3 linked regions of the Astyanax mexicanus genome follow. The protein of the gene in region 3 purifies or fractionates together with the protein of the main gene of each other region. This does not show direct contact. Links are inferred from orthologs where the notes say so. Each region holds a gene or a part of one and is shown on either strand. Other genes may lie near its edges.

Region 1 (7,276 bases), on a different chromosome or scaffold from region 3:
ACTTGGTCACCCACCTTACCTACAGGTATAGAATGCAGTTATCAGTGGCCAAAATGAATAATATTGCTTATTGAGAAATTATAGGAACCCAGCAATGTTTTTCATGCATGTGTATTTAACTAATGGAAAAGCTGGTATTATCAAATTAATTATCAAATACAGCTCAAATAAATGTATGATCCTATATAAGGTGATTATAATGCCCAAAAGATCTCTGAGTAAAATCACAGGGAAAAAAATCAAACCTGAAATACGAAACTAAACTAAAACGTGGCACCTTTCCTAAAAACTACTCAGCCAGTCAAGAGATCATATTTAACTTTATTAACATATTTAATTTGTAACAATGCCTTAACATAGAGATTTCTAAGGTATCTCTCCACATCTGTGTGGAAGACAGATTGGAGGGAGGGGATCTAATTGCTGTAACGTCTTGGCAGCATAATATCAAGTTTTCATGAAACTTTTAAGCTGAAACTTTACACTGGCTTTCTTCAGAATGGCATCTCGGAATAATCATTCATAGGGTAACTCACAGAAGAAACAACTGTCCACCTGCTGATTAATTTTTCAGCAGCCAAGACAGCAACAGAATGGTCCGCTCTTTTCCACAACACATAACAGAGATAATTGAGGATCTTACAGAGGGATCACAGTTACTGTACCTTTGGCTTCGTTCTTGTCACCCTCCATCTCGTAAGCACAGCTCAAAGGGTCTATGAAGGGGACAAACACGTTATGAACTGAAGCATTATTTGCAAAATGGCTTAAAGCTGGTAAGCCAGGTGTGGGCAGAAAAACAAAAGGGCTGAAACAACAAATGCTCTTACAATTCAAGCTCAGACCTGAATCAGCAGCACACAAACAACCACCAAAAAGTACTCATTCATATAAACAGATTGCCTCTCAGATAGCAAAAGTATGTAGAATCAATGTTCATTTTCCTGTCTCTAATTCACTAAAACATTGATTTCTAGAATCAGAACTGATTTATTATAGTCTGTGTACTAAAGTACTAATTATTTCCTCTAATAATTATTGTCTTAATCTATCAGCATGCGGTTAAATTCCAAACCTTTAAATGAAGGTTGTCAGAATTGTCAGAAATTCAGCATTAGCATACATTGTCTATAGCAAAATTAAAGATTGTTTAAAGCCTGCTTTCTGTTATCATACATTTATTCTAGGGCTGCAACAACAAATCAATTATTAAAATAGTATAATAATAATAATATAATAATCGATAAGTTTAGTATGTAAACAATACTATTTTTAATAAATGTTAGTTAGGATGTATGTTTCTTATACAGTTACAACATTAGTGCAAAAATGAGTAAAAATCGATTAATCAAAATAATAACAGACAGATTAAGCAATAATAATAAAAAAAAATACTATTGGGAACTGTTTGGTTTATTAAATAAAATGTTGGAAATGTTGCTCAAAATAATTGATAGTTGCAGCCCTACTTTATTTAATGTTTCTTTGATATCAGGGAATACATTTACACATTTTCTGGCAACACTATTGTAATAATTACTGACAACTAGCTACGTTACAATGTTTTAAAGTCTTCAGTTGTTCGACTTTTTAAGACAACATATAAAAATATGAGATATAACTTAGAATATATATAAATTACATGCAGTATTTATGTGGTAAAAGCCAAGTTCTTCTTCATTCAATATGTCCAATTAAAGACGTCCAGTAAAACTTCCCTCTGGGAGAAATTTGTTTTTTGGTATGTAATATATTTCTAATATGTATTTTATTGAATTACTTAAACTAGTTGAATAAGGCCTTTATGAATGGCTTTTGCTAATGTGTAGTATTCTCTGAAGGGGTCCAGGGAAGTTATGTGTAGCCATAAATAGTTCATATGAGAGAATATTTCCAGAACTGTCAAAAATAAAAATTAAAATAATTCCCTGAATACCTCTGTGAATAACGTTGGATAAAATACTGACTTATTTTAGTAGTTATGTCAGAGTTATTCCATAAAAAACGTTTTATGTGGAGAGAAGTTATGAACAAAGCACAGCTTCCACGCAAGAAGCACCTGTTGATGCAAACTAGAGAAAGAAATTGGGAGCTTATTAGTCAAATAAATATAAGATAAATGCTAGGTCTCCAATTTTGTTGAAAATATTATTTTTAATAAAAGTACCAAATTGAATTATATTTGTTTATCAGACATGTTTTAAGCCAACTAATTCTGAGGGAATTTAAAACATTATCAAACTCTAGCATCTCCAGCCCATATTCTATCCTACAGTTGTTCAGTAGCTCGACTTGCGGGAAAACTGCTGATGCCGGTGACGCAATTCGGCTAACTTTGTTAGCTAACGCTAGCAGCGCAGCTTCAATCTGCGGAGCTGGCTATGTTGATTAGCTAGCTAGCTAGCACTGCTAACCACATAACCCTGCTACCATAGCCTAGCTTAACACACAGAAGTCGTTCTTTTAAAGCGGTTCTGTTATTATTAAAAGGGTTATTACTGCAGACATTTCACACAATAAATGATAAGTATGTTGTAGCTATAAGTAGCTCGGTTAGCTAAGCTAACTAGCTTAACACTGAGGCGAGAGGGGCTGGGCGGTGCCAGAAGCGCTCGCTAGCCCGCTGCTCAAAATTAGCTAAGCTAGGCTAGGTATGGCTAGCTGACTATAGATGTAGCTAAGTTTTATAAATGGACGATGATTTGTAGTTAGCTAAAGCTAAACTCACTAACCTAGCTAGTTAGCTGCTACGTCAATATGATAGCTAACGTTTGCTAGTCAGTGAAAATAAAGCTAACGCTAACTAGCTATGCTAGTTCACCTAAAGCTGCGCTGCTTCACTGTGTTATTGTATCTCAGACACATCAGCAGTTTGCTCAGCAGTCAGTCACAGAAATATCCTCATTAATGTAATCTGGAGGATAGAGACGTTCACTCTGTTTTCTAACAACGCTGTTAAATCGACCAGCAACATCAGCCGGCCAACAGAATCCCGACAAAGCTGTTCTTACGCAGCAGAAAAACAAGAAAAACAACGCTATGTTAACTATAACTAGCCCGCCAGCTAAACTCTACTACATCTCCTCTACAACAGCGTTACTGCTACAGTTCAGCCCAGCGAGTAACGGAATCGACCTGCTAATTAACTAACTACATAACTAACTCAGAGAATCATCTGGATCTTCAGAGGATCTTTCTGTACGATGTTCACTTCCTTACCTCCTCCAGAGCTGTTTTCTCTCACATGGGCAGTATCAGTGAAGTGCGCTACTTACTCTGAAGCAGCGCTAGAGTAGATAGACCCCATTGGTTTCCGGCGTCCGAGTAGCGCCGCCTTAACGAAACGTCAAGGACCAGCGGAATTCAACATCAGAGTAAACTCAAAGAGTTTCAGAACTGCATTCATTATTATTTTTTGTTGGAAACTTTATTATTATTTTTTATTTAAATTTTATTTCAATAAAATTTGTATTTAAATTTGTATTTATTATTATTATTATTATTTTTTTTATATTGTATTATTATTTATTTTTTATTTTATTTTTTATTATTTTTATTTAACATTTGATTTTTTTTTATTTTTATTTAAATTTTATTTAAATTTTATTTAAATTTATTTTTTTTATTTATTTATTTAAACTTTATTATAATTTTTTTTTGCTTTATTGGAGATACAGGATTTATAGGGTAAAGATATGCTTTATCCACTTAATATGTTCTATATCCCCATTCCCACAAAAAAAAAAAAAAAAACAAGTAAGCTCAGAACTGCAGTTTCCGAACTGAATTGGATTATTTCTTATTGGAATAATATGGTTTATTTGAGACCCCGGCCCCCCAAACAAAAACAAGACAAAAAGAACTACATTGATTAGTTTTTACAGAAATAATGAAATCCTTTATTCGAGATCAACCTGTTCTTGTTGTTTGGTTTATTTCATATTCATAAATGCACATTTAGTGGTGCCAAACCATTATTTCTTGTTTTAAGACTGTTTTTAAGTATATGAACACTTTGCAATGCTCAATCTCAAAGCTAAAACAACAGGTGCTAATATACTTCACATATGTGACTCCAAATGACTAATAGATTCGAAATGACCTAAAAAGACCCCTTAATCTTTCTTGATCTTTGTTACCTCTTGAAATACTTTTTACATATTTGTTTTATGTTGTGGTTAAAAAAGGAAGAACTGCAATGATTACATCCACAGTTCCTTTCTTCATTTTCAAAGGCTTAAAAATAATACTTAGAAAAACCTGTAACTTAAAGATTTACTATTAATATAGCCACAAGCATAACAATTATACACCAATGGACCAAAAGCCTTTTAGATAGTGCTTAAATAGTTGAACAGCTCTTAAATAGTTTTTATGACACCAAGCCATATTATGAAGCATGTTTCATTTTTGAAGCTAAATTGGGAGAAGAGCTCCCATACAATGAGTCCAATGGTTCTTATGATCCTGGTGATTCAGTGCCCTGCATTCCTTGAAATAGGACACATAGCACACTTGGAGGTTACCTGAAAAACTGGTTAAGATCAGATTCAAAGAGAGGGGTTCTTAAGTCTGGAGCCAAGAAATCTAGTAGTAGCAATAATATATGTGAGAATTCTCTTTTTTATGAGTGGAAATGTACATGACCCTTGTTACTGATGTGTAATAAAAAGAAATGCATTGTTGCTATTCTGGGCTTGGTTTGCCAGAAACTGCACTATGTAACTTGAAATGGGCTGTACTCACTTTAGATGTCAGTTCTGTGTCTCTGCAAATTATACTTCCCAGCTCTAGAGGGAGTCCAAGAGCAAGAAACACTAATTCTCATATAACCAAGGGACTTTTCTTTTAACTTATGCTATACATCAATCTGTATATCTATATACATGTTTATAAGCATAAAAAACAAGACAACAGGTAAAAAAAAGAGAAATGTTTTGCATAGCAGTGTGTTTTAAGTTTTTAGCTTTACACTGGCATTACATTATTTACCCCAAAGCAGCACACAGAGTTTGGTACTTTACAATGATTTTATTATTATTATTATTTTTAAACGTCATAAAAAAATCTCAGCAAGCATTATTCAAAAAAAAAAAAAAGAAGAGCAAACCCTTCTGAAATGCCGTACAACTTTATCAAACTTCCATACGGTCTGCTGTACAGGATATAACACCACAAGGAAAAAAGGTCATACATCAAAAATCAGTTCTACCAGAGAGGAGTAGCCATCATTCAGGCCTATATCGTATTTAAGATCAAATCATCAGTGCTGGCTTCAAGTACAATATTGACAGTAATAATTACAAAACAAACTTCTCCTCACATGTACTTAGCAAAAATCTAAAGAAAACTAAAAAAATCCAAAATAAAATGAACACGACAAAAAACTGACCATACAGAAAAGGTCAACTGCTGAGTAAACATCATTTAATGCAAACAAAGTGGCGAATCGTTGTATCTTTCTAGCAGAATTATTTATATGTTGTATTAACTGCATGGTTATGGACAGGCACTTTCACACCTGGGATCAAATTGTTCTTTTATGTTTTTTAAAATATCAGTTTTACAAAAGCGAATTTTAAATCCTGGCTTAAAGCAGAATCTTTCATTTTTTTAGTAAGAAAATAAGAAATGCTAAAATTCTAACATAGTTTTCAGAGTGTGTTGGAGTGAAATGGTGCATTGTAAAGTTTTTACAGTGGTGGTGATAGAAATCTACTACATGGACAGTGGTATTGTGACACCTGCATATTAACTGTTTCTTAATAAACCAAGTGTATTAAGGACCTTTGATTGCATCCAGTAGTAAGAGCAATGGTGAGGTCATGCTTGTTGGGTGATTACAAAACCACCCCACAACATCTTCACTCTTAACTTCTACAACTTTAACATTTTAGAAATATTGGATGGAGCATCATTATTATAGAGCCAAACACAATTCCTCTGCTCCACATAGTGGAAATGTTTTTTTTGTTGTTGTTTTTTTTTGCTTCAGAGAGTCCGTTAAACCATCTCCTAATGCTAAAACTAAATTAAAGCAATAGGGCTGTGGCAATACGATACATATCATGATACAGGAGATATGATTCAATATTGCGATATATTGCATATTACATATTGTGACTGTTGTCAAATTTTAGATAGTATTTAAACACTTATCCTATAAAATTTTAATAAAAGAAGTCAAACATAAGAGACCACTTAAAATGATTAGTTTCTTTAAATTTACCAAATTGAAAACCCTTGGAATATAATCAAGAGGAAGATTAATGATCACAAGCCATTAAACCAAGCTGTACTGCTTGAATTTTTTCACCAGGCGTGGCATCAATTTCTCCAAAAGCAGTGTGTAAGACTGGTGGAGGAGAACATGCCAAGATATCACAATACAATACAATACAATATAGATAGCTATATTTCTTGCATCCATATAAGGCAGTGTTAACAGGCATCTGGCAGTGAATTTGCAGCTTTGAGGTGTTAAATTCTACAAATGTCAGGGTCTGATCACCACCACTGTCAAAAATGTCTCTGGAAAAGGGCATTGAATTGCAAATCACCCTCTATGTAGGACTTTAATTGCATCTGAAGCACTTCATAATAAGAAAACCTGTGAGGTTTGAAAAGTCGTTTTCAAAAAAAGCTGTTAAATCCCTATCCACAGAAAGATACGAAACTTGGAAGTCTTCTAAATATCACAACACATCTTTAATAATCCATGCCATGTTTTCACACAAGCAGGCTCTTTTGAAAGATAGAGCACTAGCAAAAAACAAAAAATCAAACAAAAACAGAAACAAAAAATTGAACAACTACAACCAAAACAAAACAAAAAGAACACTTGGGATAATCTATCTGTACAAGAGGACTAGTTTTTCAGACAGGTGCAGACTTGCTGACCACTGATAAATAAACATACATTTAGGGAGCAGATAACTTATTAGTTATCAGTCTTAACATTTTAGACTAACAGCCTATTAATAACAATAGTAGTATAATAAACAGTGCCTTGGATTAGTCTTATGAAGGTTTAATATGTACAAAAATGACCTTCAAAAAGACTCACTTTTTCAACAGCCTTGTAAATATCTGTCTTGCTACATATGTTTTGCAAACCATACCAGTAGTGATATAATAATACACGTGTTGTGAAGGTTCCAGTGCTACAGGACAGGTTGGGTTGCTTAAATTGTCCTTCCCCCTCCCACCTTCAAAACAACAATTTAAATAAACAAGCAAACAAACAAACAAACAGAAAAACCTAATACCCAGAATG
Region 2 (8,359 bases), on a different chromosome or scaffold from region 3:
ACCCCCCTCTTCAGTGAAGACCTGGCAACGGTCCAGCCAGCCCCTGTCCACAGAAGACAGCCTCCTGGTCATGGACTGTTTGAGGAACTGAGCCCTTTCTGTAGATTTGCCTGGAGTTTCAGTGCTCAGCTTGGAGGACTTGGAGGGGGTGAAGGTGGGAAATGGGTTCAGTGGTTCGTTCTCCAGTTTGCTGCTAGCTGCCTGCACTGGTACGGCCGAAGGGTCTGGGCAAGTGTTGGCTGGTCTTGGTGAATGGGTCTCCACCGCCATCGCTTCCACTGATACTGCACCAAAAGCTGCACTGTCCTTCCAGGACTTTGCTGGTGTTCGGCGAGGGGTGGCTGCTTTTTTGAGGGAGAATGATCGTTCCTAAATTTTAAGATAAGCAGGAAGACAGATGGGTAGACAGACAGATAAGACAGCTACACTGCTAGACAGTCAATTTAATAAGAGTGTAAGAAAATAACAGTATCATGAATCATGCTGTATCACAATATTTAGTTTACCAATACTGTAATTAAACACAGTTCAAAAACAAGAAAAATCAGTAAATCTTAAAATTCTTTAATTTTCACAAAAATCATCAGTGCTCCTTATGTATAAATTCTACCAGTCAGGTTTCAAGTAGCAATAAAGCCACTCCACTGAATTACAGCTTTATAAAGGTGACTTTCAATAAAGCCTCTGAAGCGCTAAGGCTGGGTGCAGCAGTATTAGCATTAGCCGCTAACCGCGCCATTCATAGTTGAGTATATCGGCCTGTGGCCTGTGCGTTTACCTTGTTAAAATAAGCTACTAATGCTGCTGTACCCAGCCTTAGTGAAAAACTGGAAATCTAAGCTTACTCTAAATAAACGGGAAGCGCTTTTCTCACCCAAATAAACAGTTTTCTAGATTAACATCCAGCACTACTTTGACTTTAAAAGAAAATGCTTTTTTTTTTTTTTTAAGAATTACAGTTATGTTTACTTAAGGTAGCTCAGCTTCACAGGTCTCGTCGCCTTCTGAATTACAAGGAAAACATGGTGATACCCTTGTTTCTTCCTAGTGTCGCATAAAATGTGCCTCATAATCCAGTGCACCTTATAGTGCAAAATACGATACATGTTAAAATTGGTGTCAGACAGTGGTTCATTTTAGCAATAAACAGTTCTGCAATTTAATACAATTTAATTCTCACTTGCCTAGGCCAGCTGTGATAAATACATTATTCAACTTAATCAATCAATTTATAACATAAGTACATGCATACATAGATAATGCATATTCTTGTGGTAGGTTCACATGTTATGTGTATTATTTACGAGCATCTATAGTTATCGTGACAGGCCGACACTTACCTTTGACAGAGCTCCGAGATTAGACTTCAGCTTCATGCCGAAGTACTGAGCAGATGCATGCAACGTCTCTTTGTCTTTTAATGTCAGTTTGGGTGCAGCCACTGGCATGCTCTTTCGGTTAAGGTGAGACCCCCAGCAGTCCTTTTAATCACAAGAACACAATCATAATTTATTTAAACATACGGAAACACAATTACAGATCAACACAGATAAACACAGAAACACTGCATAAATCAGGGTACATACCATTCCTGCAGACTGGGATTCCTGTGATTTCACCTGAACATCACTCTCTCCACTAACTTTCGCCTCTTTAAGAGTGCGATACTCTTTATAAAGTTCTGCAAGAGAGCAAATATATTCAGGACATAATGAATATATACAAACAGAACTTTTTATTTAAGAGACAAAAACACGTGCAGTGTATTAAAAATTGATTATTAACTTACGCCTGGTCTCTTCTGGAGCTGCATCAATATCATCCTAAAAAAGCAATCATTAAATTATTTGAGAAATCAACAGTTTAATCCATAAAAAATGTGATAATTAATTGAGAAAAACATCTCACTTGTAGCTTTCTTTATTTAGTTTATAAAAAAAAAAAAAAGACATATTATTGTATAAAAAAAACTGTTTAAGGTTTACATTCCTTCAAATGTCTATGTATAATATTACAAATATATAATAAAAACAACAACAGGATTATTTTTGGAAATACCACCCAATGTGTTACCGTAAAACTAAGATTATCATACTTTTAAAATCTCACAAAATGTAGAACAAGAACTGCTTATATTATTCAACTGACTGCTAAAAATATTAACATACAGCAGATAGTTGACATAATCAACAATGTTTAATACATATATTTACTATATTTATATACTCACACACGCAAACGCACAAATATACATATACATGTAATAAAAAGAACAAAGATTATAATCAGGTGTTTTTTTGTAAACATGTACAGTTTTTACTGTTAATTTGTGTTTGTACTGTTAGGATTTTATGTTGTCCTTAGAACAATAAAATAGACAATTAAATCATATATTTAATTTTTTTTTCTCATATTCTTAGGAGGTTAACCTTATCTATCTATCTATCTATCTATCTATCTATCTATCTATCTATCTATCTATCTATCTATCTATCGCAGCATCACATAGACTTTAATAATATCTACCATGGAAAAAAATATATATATAAATATATAAATAAATAAATATTATATATATATATATATATATATTTTTTTTTTTTCCCATGGTAGATATTATTAAAGTTATTATTCCTCCATATTTCTAGGAGGTTACCCTTTTTTATCCAGCTTACTTTAGAATATCAAGTTTATTCGGATTTAATCACTGTCTTTTAAAACAAATAGGGTATTATCTCAAATGGTGTACATTTGCACGGGCGAGCTGAGATTTATTAAAGAATAGAAAAATAAATACACACAAGCATGACAACATTAGCTAAAGTTAGCTAACCTAATTATCTATCTATCTATCTATCTATATATATTAATAAATCATTATTTAGCTTAAAATTACCACAACTACAACAGGAACCAGCCTGCAGGTAAACACACAGCTTCACCGAGAGCAACAGAAACTCACATCTGAACAATAATGTTTAAATCACTCAGTATAAGAAGATATACAGGAGTAAACATGTAGCTAATGTTACCTTGTTGGGTTTCCTGTTGTTTATCTGCATAAAGGACTGTTCCCATTTCTTCAGGAGGATTTTTAAATCGTTATATCGGTCCATTCTGAGCCCTGAGAGAACCTTCCTAATTTATCTACAGGTTTTATTAGGCTACAGTGAATATTATAACATACAATAACAGGCTGCGCATGGGTGAGAGTTTATACAAGAGAAATAACTTAATAACTTCACCAGAATAACTCAAATAAACCAAATAACCAGCCTTTTACTAACTAACTATCCTACAGATTCAGCTTCAGCTCTCAGCTCGAGCTCCTTTCAACTCAGCGCGCCAAACCTCAAGCCGGTCGGAAAACACAGGAAGACGTCGAACCGGCCCCTGTCAAAATAAGAGTCCCACGTTAAAAAAAAAAAAAAAAAAAAAACAGTTTAGACACATTTTCACTTTCAATGTTTTTCTTTATTTCTTTATTTAATCGATAATAATAACAGTAATAATGCATGGCCTCGACTTTGTATAGTGTTGTATTGTTTGTATTTATGGGACATTCTACCAAATGGGTGCCATTTGCTTGTTGTAAGTCTTCCAAATTTATTTATTTATTTTTTTCTAAAAATCTTAATCTAAAAATGCATGTATTTAACGATTTAAAACATGTGCTGGTCAACCTTTTTACAAGATTACTAAACTGAAGCTGATTTCTCTCAAGAAAGTCTTTATTTTAAAGAAATGGTTGACTGCATGTTCAAATAATTGATATTTATGACAAAACAAATCACTCCTGTTAATGGCACTCACTCCTGTCACTGGCACTCATTCCTGTTACTTTTTATGTTTTGAGTAACAGGATTGAAAGTAACAGTGAATGTTTTTAGCATAGAATTAGCAAAAACATGAAAAATAGCTAAATGGCGGCTATGCTAATGACATGAGGACACTGAGCACGTTCTAGTGATTTTTCCCAAAATATGTGTTATATTATATTGTAATCTGTGTTAAAATTTTTTGGACCACTAGTGGCAGCAATCGTGAGAATTTGCAAAAAAAAAAAAAAAAAACTGAACAGATAAAATGTTAAAACTTGCATGTTTATTATTGTCACCTGGTGTTTTTGACATAGATGTGGCACCATACAAGCCCTTTATTTATTATTAGTTGGCATGGCACAGTATTTATAGGTTTCAGAATAAAAGACCTATCATGACAATATCACTCTAGCAAGCTAAAGTAAGTTTATATTACTTTACTGCATTAAAATGTATCGTCCCTTAAAACCTGCAGAACACAAGTCAGTCAGTGAGAGATGATGGATTTAAAGAACTGTCTGAGTCTCCGGTGTCCCACAGCCAGGATCAGGGGAGACAAAGCTATAAAGAGACTGTTGGAGAAACGGGCCAGAACCAACAGGTACGTAGATGAAGCTCCGCGGTTGTAGTTGAAGTAGTTCACTGAGATCACACTTGCACCCCAGGACACGATGAACAGAAGGATCAGGGCTAGAATCACCTGAAGAGGAGAAATACAAAAAAAATAAGGGAGAAATTAATACAATTAATATGCCCACTCAGAGAGAACAAGGCCATTTGTGCTCTCTCTCAGACTCCAGCTGCTGATGCTGAGCAGCCCCCTGGAGATCTACCACCCTGGAGATTTCAGATTGAACGTACCTGAATCTAGAACATTCACATGCTGCTAAAAAACATTAATTATCTAGATCAGGTGTGAGGGATCTCTCAGACTCCGGCTGCTGATGCTGAGCTGAGCTCGCATCATAGAGCCACAATACAAAAAAAATCTATCGTCAAAAACTAGACAAGATTTATGTAAATTAAGACATATATGCTTATATTAAGCCAAAAAAATCTGCCAATGGGGTGAGCAAATTTTTCTTAGTAAGATTTATTACAAAAAAAAAAAAAAAACAATCGCTAAGTCTTAAAACGAGTGCGGTAAGCTTTAAATCAATCAAAAACATTCAAAAAACGTTTTTTTCTTGCCTTACATTTGGACAAAAGAAACAGAATAACTTAATTAAAATAAGAAAAATAACCTAATGCTTATTTTGAGTTCAAATTACTTAAAATAAAGTAAAAATTTGAAGTATGACTGACAGACCCTGTGTCAATTACAATGGACATCATGTAGTTTCTTTTTATTGAATGTTAATTTACACAGAACACTAATTGAGACGTTGATGTTGTCCATCAGAATAGATCATAAACCAGTCAATGAAACTAGCTTAGACCCGCCCACTGCATTGTACAAAAAAGAAAATGGGCATGTAATCACTACAGAACAAAAAAGGTAAGTTTATCTTAAAAATAAGCTTATTTTTACTAATTCTCTGCAATTTTGAACACTTTTTTGTTATGTTTAGGAATAAAAAGTTTAAATCAATTTAAAGTTTTAAATCAATTTTAATCAGTTTTAATCAATTAGCACTTTCTTTTTTTACATTTGTTTGAAATGTAAAGTGCATTAAAAATAAAATGTATTTTTTACATTTATTTTTAAATAGTGTCTTTTTTTTGGATTACAAAAAGAAAACAGCATTCTTACATTTTCCATCACTGGATCAATTAATTCATGTCTGAAAGGGACAATTATTCCTAAAATAAGCAAAATAATCTAACACTTACACGATGCTTAATAAGACCAAAAGTCTTATCAGGAAAGAATTTAGAAGAAGATTTATAGCCTTAAATTTGATTTTTTTTTTTTTTACTTTTTATGATTTAATTTTTTGCAGTGCAGCTTCTTATTGAAAATAAATGAAAGTTGTGGCAGTAAATGTTCTGACCTTGGCAGCTCGTCTCTCTGCAGGAACCCTGCGGATGACCGGAGCGTCCTGGGCTTTATTCCCGGTGCTGTGGGTGTTTCCGTGTGCGTACAGTGTGAGAAGTGATCCCAGGTTGGTGACGCTCATGAGCACGATGGGGATGATCTCGTGGATCACCATGGAGGTGGTGGCGAAGGCCAGACCGCTGTAGACGGAGGGAAAATCCCACAGGCAGCCCAGTAACGGACGTGTGGTGCTGCTCACCAACATTAACGTCTGTAGTTTAATATATAAGAGACAGAAGGGAGGAAATTTAGTGAGAACAGCCAACAAACTGCAGGTAATAAATACAAATTTCATGAAACACAATTTCTGATTCAACTGAACTAAGCCATGCTCTTCCGTTTGTTGTTTTTACATCCCTTGTTACTCCCATTAACTCCCATTCTTTTTCATGCATGACTTTATTATTTTTTCTTTAAATTTATTTCTATTTTTTTCCCATTTTTCCCAATTTATGTAGCCAATTGTTTCAATCATCAAGCTGCTGAAATCTACCTATAAAATCTAGGTAATTAAGGTCTTAAATTGTCTTGGTTTACTGTAAATTAGCTAGTGGAAAGCTAGCTAACATTAGCGGCGAGTTAGCTAATGTACTAACGTCAGCGGAAAGTTATGTTAACGTTACGGGGGAGAGAACTTTTGGGCCTTAAAAAGCATTAAATTTGACTTTTTAAATGGTGCAAGAACACTGAATCACCCAACACAGGGATGGTAAAGACCAGTACACTGATGCAGCATTGCCGAGTAGCGTCACAGCGCTAGCGACTCGGTTCTGTTACATCAGCTCACAGATGCAGCCTTGTGCTGATCCACGTCACCCTAGGAGTGATGAGGAGAAAGAGAAGAGCGCCATCTACTGTACTGTACCCACCCAGAGAGAGAGAACAAGGCCAATTGTGCACTCTCAGGGCTCCGGCAGCTGATGGCAAGCTGCATGACCAGGATTCAAACCAGTGATTCCGTACCTCTGTGGCGTTCTTTCCTCCGCTGGTGGAGTAAATGAAGGCAGGTACGGAGTAGAGGAGATTGCTGCTCCAGATTAAACCGAACCCCGTTAGAATTCCTCTGGGTAAACCTCGGGGACCGCTCAGGCTGGTAATGGGAGGAGCCGTCCGTCTCAGAGTGTGGAAATGAAAAGCACTGAGGAAGAACGTTGACCAAACGTTCACAGAGCGAAGCCACACCCACACACCCATCAGAATCTGACACCAGTCCTTTCCAGGTAACACCTTGAGGAAAAAATGAGAAGATAGGTAATTAAAAAGCCATCAAAAATTAACATTCATAAGTGCTCCGAAAATGTTGAGGCCCTTTAGAGGCCATCAACTTTTTCATCAGATTTTCCAATATTGGGAAATGCATTAAATTACACATTTTTGCTTAAATTTGGGCAAAAAGTCCTAAAAAATCCTAAAAGTAGATAAAATATTATATATATATATATTAGACTTGAATATTTAATAATTGAGAAATATGATCCCACCACCCCCTATACTCTTTAAGCCTGGATAAATTACATTTACATCCATCTGTTGCCTCAAATTAAAGTAATGTATAAAATGTTACTTTTTCATTTTCTTGATAATCTACAAAATAAAAACCTTATTGCTTCTGGTTTTGTTAAAAAAATAAAAACTGGAAAAAAAATATGAGCCTGTGGTTTTACAGTTTACAGTTTACAGATGTTACAGTCTAAATATGTGAAATCGATCCTTTCTTTTAACATTACTTTTACAGAATCTTAGCGGTAATTTAGAGGTAATTGTGTAAAGGAAATTAATGCTAACTAAATGTATATTCATCCTTATTACAATACACTATTAATTAATACATTATTAGATGTCTTATTTCTAAATTTCTATAATATTAATATAAATAATAGTAGAACTTCTTTAAATTGTAAAAATGTATAAAAATTTAATTATATTTCATTTAGTTCATTTAGAGGTAATTAGGTAATGCCAAAACCTTGTATCTGCCAACTTTAAAAGATAATAGGATAAAACATTTTGACACAGTGTTAAAAAATAAAACAGTCAGATTTACATTGACACTTCTATTTAGCATTGCTTTAACTTTTTCTTAGTAAATTAAATTAGGTAATGGTTGTTAAAATAACTAATTATATTGATAATTTAGAGGTTATTCGGTAATGCCAAAAATTTGTTTTTGACAACTTTACAGGATAATAAAAAAAAATAATAATAATTGGAGCTTTTCTATTGGTCCATTCATTGTAAAATGTCAAAAAGTGAAAAATGCTATTGATTCTTTCTTTCAGCGTTACTTTTACTTTTTCTTAGATAGTAAAGTTTTATTTTTGGTTGTAAATAAAAACGTAATTATATGGTTATTTTAGAGGTAATTAGGTAATGCTAAAACCTTTTATCTGCCAACTTTACAAGAGATTAAAAAATAATAATAATTTTGGAGCTTTTCTATTGGTCTACTCACCCTGAAATTTTGACACAATGTAAAAAAAAAAGTGTAATGTGTCATTAT
Region 3 (8,305 bases):
TTCTTCAAAGATTCCCGATAAATAACATTATCTGTTATTTAATGGGCCAAAAAGACCTTTACAAGTAAAAAACTAAAAATAACAGTCCATTTCAATAATATGAATCAAATACACCATGCAACATGTGTAAAAGTTCACAGTTCCAAATTAATTCGAATGCAGTATTAGTACACTTATTTAACAAAGTTATTTATGCTGTAAAATTGATATGCAGCTCAGGTCAAATATAAATTATTAAAAGGTGTAATCACTTATTTGAAGCAATAATTAAACAAGAAATTCCTGCCTTGAGCATTTTTCTTCAGGTTACACTTTTGTTCATTTAGATCAGCAAACTGTTTTGTAATGTAAATCCTTGTAATACAGATGTTCAATTTGACCACTGTCTAAAAACAAAACAATGCAGTGTATTTAGATGATACTGGAGCACTGCATGTAAAGGATTTCTTTAATGCTGATCTATGTGGATTCTAGGGGTGTGCCATATGGTATCGCAATAATAGTCAACATTTTTAAATATCATATTTAAATATAACTATATTATACCCTAAAATATCATGCCATATCACCCACCCCTAATCATCACATCAGGGTACTACCTTTTTGCTACTTTTAGCAAAAGAAAAATTTACACTGTTCTCATTTAACATCTACTAAAGACAGATTAAATCTGTCCAGTATCATTTATTTTACTTTAATCCTGGATAGATGGAGATATTTGAAGTGGATTTTAGTATCATGACATTCTCAATTACTGACTTCTGTAAAAAAAAATCTGATCAAATTATTGTATTTTTATTATATTATTGTATCTCAGTTAGGAGTGTGCCATATCATATCATATACAAGAATAGCATTTAACTTTCATTTTGTTGCAGTATTGTATTTATTAAATATTTTTTTGGAATTCAGTGTTTTGTCATATCGCCAAGAGTATCGTTATCTCAAAAACACCACAAAATATTGTGATATTATTTTAAGGCCATGTCGCCCATCCCTAGTGGATTCTATATTTTAATTTTGTTATGGCCCTTCAATTCCCGAACATGTGTAGACCTACATCCTTTAATTCCGTTAAGCCACAGAACCCTTCTAGACTACATTATTTGCAAAATAACTGTGAAAATTTCACAACCTGCCTCACAAAAGTGAGCCTGAAACATTTTTGCACATTCATTTTTAAAAAACTACGACTTGCAGGACAGAACATCAGTAGGCCGAGGGGTCACTGCTCGAATCAGCAAAGCCTGGCTAATCAATGCTGAGACACACCTAGGTTCATGAGGCTGGCCTAGGCTTTGTTCCGATATGGATGGGTTGAGCAGTTATCCTAGAAAATTGCTTAAACCTTTTGCTAGAACACCCAATCTTTGTTTTAAGGTCATTCACAGCCATGCGCATTTATCACTGCTGATGAGCTTCAGAAGTGACCTAAAAGGTGGATTCTAGTGAGGCCCAGCCTGGAATAATCAATTCTTTGTGTGATTCACACAAAGGGCAGAGCACACGAATACTTGCCCAGCCCACGCCATCCAATACAACTGTCAAAACGTGTGGCCCACAGTCAACAGCGGTGGCACACTTTTGTTGTTTAGATCAGGGCACTGAATTGGCCTTTCGGAATCTGGAGATGGGTGTAGAAGCATCCACCACAGTAAACACCACCATTGACAGCTTTCTTGTGCATGGATCAGCAGGCAACCTGCTGACATAACGATCCCAAGTCCAAATGGATTTGTGGCATAATTTATTGTTCTTTTACGTATTTACATAAGTAAAAACTGTGAACAGGGAGGGTCTCAGAGGTGTCGTTTGAGGTTTGCATGATGGGGAGCTGGGACTAGGAACTGGTGCATGGGAAAATCTTAAAATCCTGAAAAAACAGGATTGAGAGAGTGTTTTGATGGAAGGTTACAGAAAAAAAACAAGAGCAGTCTGCTAAACGAGATAGATCATGTTGAAACATGGTTACCTTGACCAAAAATCTATCAAAAAACAATAAACCTTCTAAGCAGCAGGTGAATTACCTGTATTCATCATAATCTGTACCCATTCATCCATGGTGACTTGTTTGCATCTGTTTGCTGTAATTCTATGCTTTATGCAAATCTGATTATGCGCTTACATTATCGATTACTTATCTTCATTTTATGCCATTAATGAAAAATAATCATAAAAGCCTGGGACAATTGTAGCGTAATTAGACCTAAAATAAAACAAAAACACTTCCACCGTTGTCAAGGCATTATATGTTTCTTTTACGCAAAGAAGCGGGGAAACTGTACGATTCATCTACGAACAATCGATTAATCGTCGTTTTGCTAGCGATTACCTGCCTCTGCTAGTTAGGTTAGCAGGCGTGGAGAAGACATTATTAGCTAGCTGGGTTAGCTACACGGGCTAATCAGGGATGAACCAGAGAGGGATGCTGCTGGAGGACAATAAAACGGATTAAAAATCGAATAACCGGAGCATAAAATTACCTTCGTTTCTCGAACATCCTGCTTCGTCCCTTCAGGGTACCACTGCACCCGTACAAAGCCTCTCCCGAGAGGCCACGTCCGAGAGTCAGCCGCCCCGCTCTCAGTGTCTGAATTCCCGGGGATGCAGCCTCCTCCACCGCCGCCGCCGCCGCCTCCTCCTCCTCCTCCACCACCTCCACCGCCGCCGCCGCCGCCGCCACCTCCTCCAGCACCGCTACCTCCACCGCCGCCTCCAACACCTCCGCCGCCACCACCGCCTCCTCTCCCGCCGCCATCCTCCACATCCGAGTCGGACTCCTCGAAGTCCTCCTCCCCGTGAATCATCCGCACCAGGCCGAAGCGCAGAGAGCCGCGGTGTCGACCCGAGACCAAGTCGTGTGAGAACAGGAGCCGCTGGGCGCCGCCTGCGGACGGCGAGAGAGCCATGGAGGGAGGCTCCGAGCCCGGGCTGAGCGCCGGGGAGAGAGCCGGGGAGGTCTGCGGCGGGACTGCCGCCGTCGCTGCTGCTTCTGCTGGATCCGCCATCGCTGCTGTTAGTGAGACGGGCGGCGGAGAGACGAAGCGAAAAAGCGGAGCTGCGAGCAGCACGTGGTTAACGTGGCCACGCAAAAAGCGCTGCACGTCGCTGAACTCGAATAAGAGAGAATTCAGCAGCAGCCTGTGATTTCATTCACTTTATACACACCTAGAATTCAGTTCATAGTTATTACAATAATAGGAACGAATTACTGTAGAAGTGTGTATTACCGAGGTTCCTATTAATTTTCTTTTTGAAATAGAATCATTAATAGAATTATTTTATAATTATTGATATTATCATAGTAATACTATAATTCAGATTATCATTGTAATATTTAACCATAACTTTAACATTTATATTATTATTTAATTGTAATAGTAATTCGTATAATTAAGTAATAATAGTAATAATAGTGATCATTTATTTGTAGTTATTAATGTGAGAATTATAAGAAGAAGAAGAAAAAGAAGAAGCAGAACTATTATTATTATTATTACTACTATTGGTATTCTTTTTAAAACATAAATGAATCAATGTTATTGCAATATTTAAACTTACAATATGATTTATACATCTATTATTTAATATTAATGATAATAGAAGTAGTAAAAATAGTAGTGGTATTATTTATTTGAAGCTAATAATAATAATACTTTGCTATTATTATTTTTTATTATTGTTATTATTACTGGTAACTCTTATTATTTTTATCTTAATAATATGCATAAATGTTTTTTTAATCCATGTTAAAAATGTAAAAATGTGCACTGTTAGGAAAAGTTTTAATAACCAATTATTTATTTATATTTCTGTTTATTCAGAGCCAATAAGAAGCACACATCAGTCTCTTCTTTGTTTAAGCTTGAAGTTAAGAAATATTTTACACCTGGAATCATATTTTAATTTGTATTTGTATTTCACATGCCATACTGAACTTCTGTTGATTCTGCCTCTAACGCTTCCTGAGATGTAAAGTGAGGTTAGTTTATGTGACTTCACCTGTCTGATCTGTCTCACTCCTGCCTGCCTCATGCATCTTTCTGTAAAGTGACACAGCCCCCAGCATCATCATGCTCAGCTCTGACTCAGGCCTTCTGAGCAGCACAGGGACTGAAGTGTGGCCTGCTGCTCCACCCACAGGCCTACAGGCGTTACTGCACACGGCCAGGGTGACCTCATCCCGCCGCATGGTGTCAGTGTGTGAATGCAGATTGTTGGCAGGCAGGCTGGGTTAGAGGCTCATCACTGCTGGCATGATATTGTTCACTGGGCAGTGGGGAATGGGTAACAATAGGCGATCTAATACCCAACCGCCTTAATATATCTGTGTAATTAAATGATTAAGAAATCTATTGAAAAATAAACTTCTTTCTTAACATAAATTGTGCATCAACAGATAAAAAGACATACTACAGACACACCAGGTTTTTTATAAATTTTATTGGTTTGTTACATATATACACACACGCACACACATACACCAGTCAGCCATAACATTAAAACCACTCACATGTTCCAATAGCACCTGAGTTCCCAGTATGCAATGGTCAGCACACTAAGTAAGAACAACTGGTGAATCAGATCATGTAGACTCCACCTCAAAACTTACAGGACATAGAAAAGGATCTGCTGATAATGTCTTGGTGACAGATACCACAGAATACCTTTAAAGGCACTAGCTGCCATATTCAATGGTCATAATGTTTTGCCTCCTCAGTGTGCAGAGTAAGTCAAAAATCACAGGACACTCTTATTTCCAAAGCGTAATATGGCTTTTGAAATACTGGCCATGTTCCAGACATAGCCTGGGTTATTCAGATATGTAATTTTTGCTTTCATTACTTTTCCCTTTCGTTTCTGATTTAAAAAAGTGTCCTGCGACTTTTCTATACTATTTATATAAATATTCTTTAAAAAAGGCAACACAATGATCAATGATTCATAAAACCCCATTTCAATCAATTACCAATAAATCTTTCCACACACACTGCTGGCAGGTTCCACACAAACACAGGTTGACGGCAGTCATTCAGGTGAATTTCTTGAATTCGTCGTACAAAACCAGCACCAAGGCGCCTCCAACGCCCCTCAGAATGTTCGAGAAGGTTCCCTTGAAAAAGGCCTGCATGCCTTCTTCACGAGCAATCTTCCTCCAGCAGTCCACTGTGCCGGTGTAGAATGCATCCCCTGTATATTCCCAACAAAAAAAAGAAAATATAACAAGAATGAATAAAAAGTGAAGAAATAAAAAGTGAGTTTAAGTTGTTGTGTTGAAGAAGGAAAAAATGGGCAAAAGTAAGAATCTGAGAGACAAGAAATCTGTGACGGGTAGATGACTGGGTCAGATCATCTCCAAAACATTGGGAAGGTATTGTGGGGTGTAACTACCAAAAATGCTCAAAGGACAACCAGTAAACTGGTAACAAGGTCATCAAGGCCCCAACTCATAACTTAAAGGACAAAACGTGAAGGATCTGCTGCTTATGTCTGAAAGTGTCCAGATACTACAGAAGAACTTATGGCACATAACAAAATAGGTCATCTGCAATTTAATTTGTTGCTAGGTTTGTTATCAGTGTTGATCTTACCTCCTTTCAGTCCAGACTGCATCATCATACGGCGTCGGACCGTGTCAAAAGGGTAGGATATGATTCCAGCCACAGTGGTCACACTCTGAGCGATCATCCAGCTGAACATGAAGTGAATATTTTCTGGATCTGGCATCATACCTACAGACAGAAGTTGTGTTTAGTGCACATTCCAATGCTTTCCAAAATACACCCATTTTAACCTCGCTAACGAAACAGTCCAGCCCAAAGTATAAATTTCTGTCTGCTGTGTCTGTAGTATTTGGTTAATTACCCCAAACACCAATGTCAACATATTTCCTTTAACAGGAAAGAAAAATCAGAGAGTTGCTGAATTTAGTTAAATACAATGTATGTACATTTATGAAGACAGTCCGATCAGTGTTTTTTTTTCTAATATAAGCATGGCAACGTGTATTTTATTTAGAAAAAAATATCTTTTCTCCAGCCAAAATGCTCATGTGGGGCTCACAGGCGTAGAACATGATCTAGGTTGCAGCCCTCTATCGCTATAGCCCATCTTATTCTCACACAGGTCCCATCTAGGATCTGTGTGCAGTGTACAGCCCAGATAGGGCCCATGGTTAACCCCTTCTGAGCCCATCACTGACATTCATATGTGGGGCTCACATGGAATATTGTGTGGGTCATGTCATCTGGTCTATATGTGTGTGATCATGATTGAATATTCCACATTTGTATTTGTTTATTTGTACTGTACGGTTAGTGCTGGGCGGTATACCGGTTCATATGTTATACCGGAGGGGAAATTAAAACTGGTAAAGAAGCATACTGACACAGCTTGCTAACTAACGCTAGCCAGTTAGCATAACAAGCTAACACATTGGAGTAATTGTAGCTTAGCTCTGTGGAGTCAAACGCTCGTCTCACTCTGTCCTGCCTGGAGAAAAATGAGAACACCACTTTATCTGAGGAGCTCCTGCTGCTGTTCTTTGCATTATGAGTGTTTATGAGTAAAATAGAAAAACAACCGCAAACTGCAATATTTACTAAGAGGTGGATGGAACCATGCAATCGATTCACAGCTTGGAAAAAGTTCCTCTCGTCCCTCAGACGAGCCCAGAAACGGTCCGCGGTGCAAAATCAATTATTCAGAACAAGTGATAAACCTCTATAAAACTCTGGATACGAGGTGCAAAAAATTCTAAAGAGTCTGAGCTGTCCAAATGCTTCTGTTACAGGCTAGTCAATAAGGTGACCAGGAATATTAATTTCAATAGCTAATATTATATGGTTTTAATAAAATAACGATACACATATGCATCACACAGGTTCTACAGGACCATAACTGAGAACTAGTGATATAAATGTATACGTCTACCTAGGTATATGAAAGTATAGGTATATACTCACTTTTGACAGTATCATAGATACCGAAGTATCATAGATAGACATATACTCACTTTTGACAGTATCATAGATGCCGAAGTAGGCAGCTCTGTAGATGATGATGCCCTGCACTGACACACCGAAGCCCTTGTAGAGTCCCCCGAGTCCATCAGCTTTGAAGATCTTGACGAAGCAGTCCGACAACCCAGTGAACTCCCTCTCCACCTTCACCTTACCAATATCAGCAGCCAAGCGAGTGCGGGCGAAGTCCAGCGGGTAGACTACACACATAGAAGTTGCTCCTGCGGCGCCCCCTGCAGCCAGGTTACCCGCAAAATATCTCCAGAACTGGGTGTGCTGGTCCACTCCAGCCAGGAAGAACGTCTTGTACCTGTCCTTAAAGGCGAAGTTGAGGGCCTGAGTGGGGATGTATCGGATGACGTTGGCCAGGTTGCCTCTCCAGTAAGCGAGGAAGCCCTGCTCTTTGGGAATGCGGACGATGCAGTCGACGATGCCCTTGTACTGCTTATCAGCCGTGATGTGTTTGCTGGCATGCTGAACCTGTAAGAAGATTTGAGAAGAATATTTAAGATTATTGTGAAGATTGGAATGGATTTGGGGTAGATCTGTGGTGCAACTGTCTAAGCGTTGGCCTTGTTATCAGAAGGCTGCAGGTTTCCAGGAGTTGTAGAGAGCATAACTGGTCTCACTCTCTCTAAGTGGATATAGGATGACCCTCCCTCTCCCCCATCATTCAGTGCAATGCTAGCCAGCATAGTGTCATAATACAGAGTAAGCCTTTTAGAAGTGCAGCAAGGTGTCCAATTACAACACCTTAGCAGTAGTTTGAAAATTTTGATTGGCTGGCTATAAAAGAGTTTTTTTCCATATCGAAGAAAATGTAGAATGGTTGTTCAGCTAATGTGTGAGGAACAAGAGATAAAATACGACAGAAGAATAAGTGCAGGTCAGTATGGCTGAGGATTAGAGCTTGGGGACCTGCACAAACAGTTTGGTGGTGACTGTGGGGCAATTGAAACTCTAGGCATTGAGAATTAATAAAAAAAGAATAGTAAGAGAATGATAAAATGGCAAATAGATGAGTTCTTGTCAGAATAACTGTGAAATACAGTTCAGTCACCTGCACTCAAATAGTACATTAAATTTGTAAATAAAGACCATGAAGAACAATAAAAACAAGTAAAAAGAACTATAATATAAATTGTATAATAGCATAGCTTTGTAATGTGGAACCATGATAATAAATTTCACATTATGAAATAAAAAAAATCCTGTTATAAAAAATATAGATTTGATATGGTACTTGTACTCAATACATTTTATGTTTCTTTTTTCAATATATT

What was found. The genes of interacting proteins can lie anywhere in the genome.
Region 1: the proteins of ube2o (region 3) and nap1l4b purify together in Homo sapiens (affinity purification with mass spectrometry; 3 studies listed by BioGRID, with this or other methods). This does not show direct contact. The link is inferred for Astyanax mexicanus from reciprocal best matches to the Homo sapiens genes UBE2O and NAP1L4.
Region 2: the proteins of ube2o (region 3) and recql4 purify together in Homo sapiens (affinity purification with mass spectrometry; 3 studies listed by BioGRID, with this or other methods). This does not show direct contact. The link is inferred for Astyanax mexicanus from reciprocal best matches to the Homo sapiens genes UBE2O and RECQL4.

The regions. Positions count from the first base shown.
Region 1 is NC_064430.1:13,698,094-13,705,369, forward strand, and holds the start of nap1l4b (nucleosome assembly protein 1-like 4b), read right to left. Parts: upstream 3,360-7,276; 5' UTR 3,276-3,359; exon of another isoform or gene 3,220-3,275; intron 717-3,219; 5' UTR 694-716; coding exon 666-693; intron 20-665; coding exon 1-19. UniProt on the Homo sapiens protein: Acts as a histone chaperone in nucleosome assembly.
Region 2 is NC_064410.1:3,355,113-3,363,471, reverse strand, and holds the start of recql4 (ATP-dependent DNA helicase Q4), read right to left. Parts: upstream 3,360-8,359; 5' UTR 3,117-3,359; coding exon 3,033-3,116; intron 1,824-3,032; coding exon 1,790-1,823; intron 1,682-1,789; coding exon 1,587-1,681; intron 1,482-1,586; coding exon 1,341-1,481; intron 370-1,340; coding exon 1-369. Other genes in the region: olfactory receptor class A-like protein 4, read right to left, coding at 4,309-4,521, 5,816-6,070, 6,823-7,086. UniProt on the Homo sapiens protein: An ATP-dependent DNA helicase which unwinds dsDNA with a 3'-overhang in a 3'-5' direction. Does not unwind more than 18 bp of dsDNA. May modulate chromosome segregation. The N-terminal domain (residues 1-54) binds DNA Y-shaped DNA better than ss- or dsDNA.
Region 3 is NC_064412.1:29,561,197-29,569,501, forward strand, and holds the start of ube2o ((E3-independent) E2 ubiquitin-conjugating enzyme UBE2O), read right to left. Parts: upstream 3,076-8,305; 5' UTR 3,009-3,075; coding exon 2,484-3,008; intron 1-2,483. Other genes in the region: ADP/ATP translocase 2, read right to left, coding at 5,033-5,190, 5,592-5,732, 7,016-7,502. UniProt on the Homo sapiens protein: E2/E3 hybrid ubiquitin-protein ligase that displays both E2 and E3 ligase activities and mediates monoubiquitination of target proteins. Negatively regulates TRAF6-mediated NF-kappa-B activation independently of its E2 activity.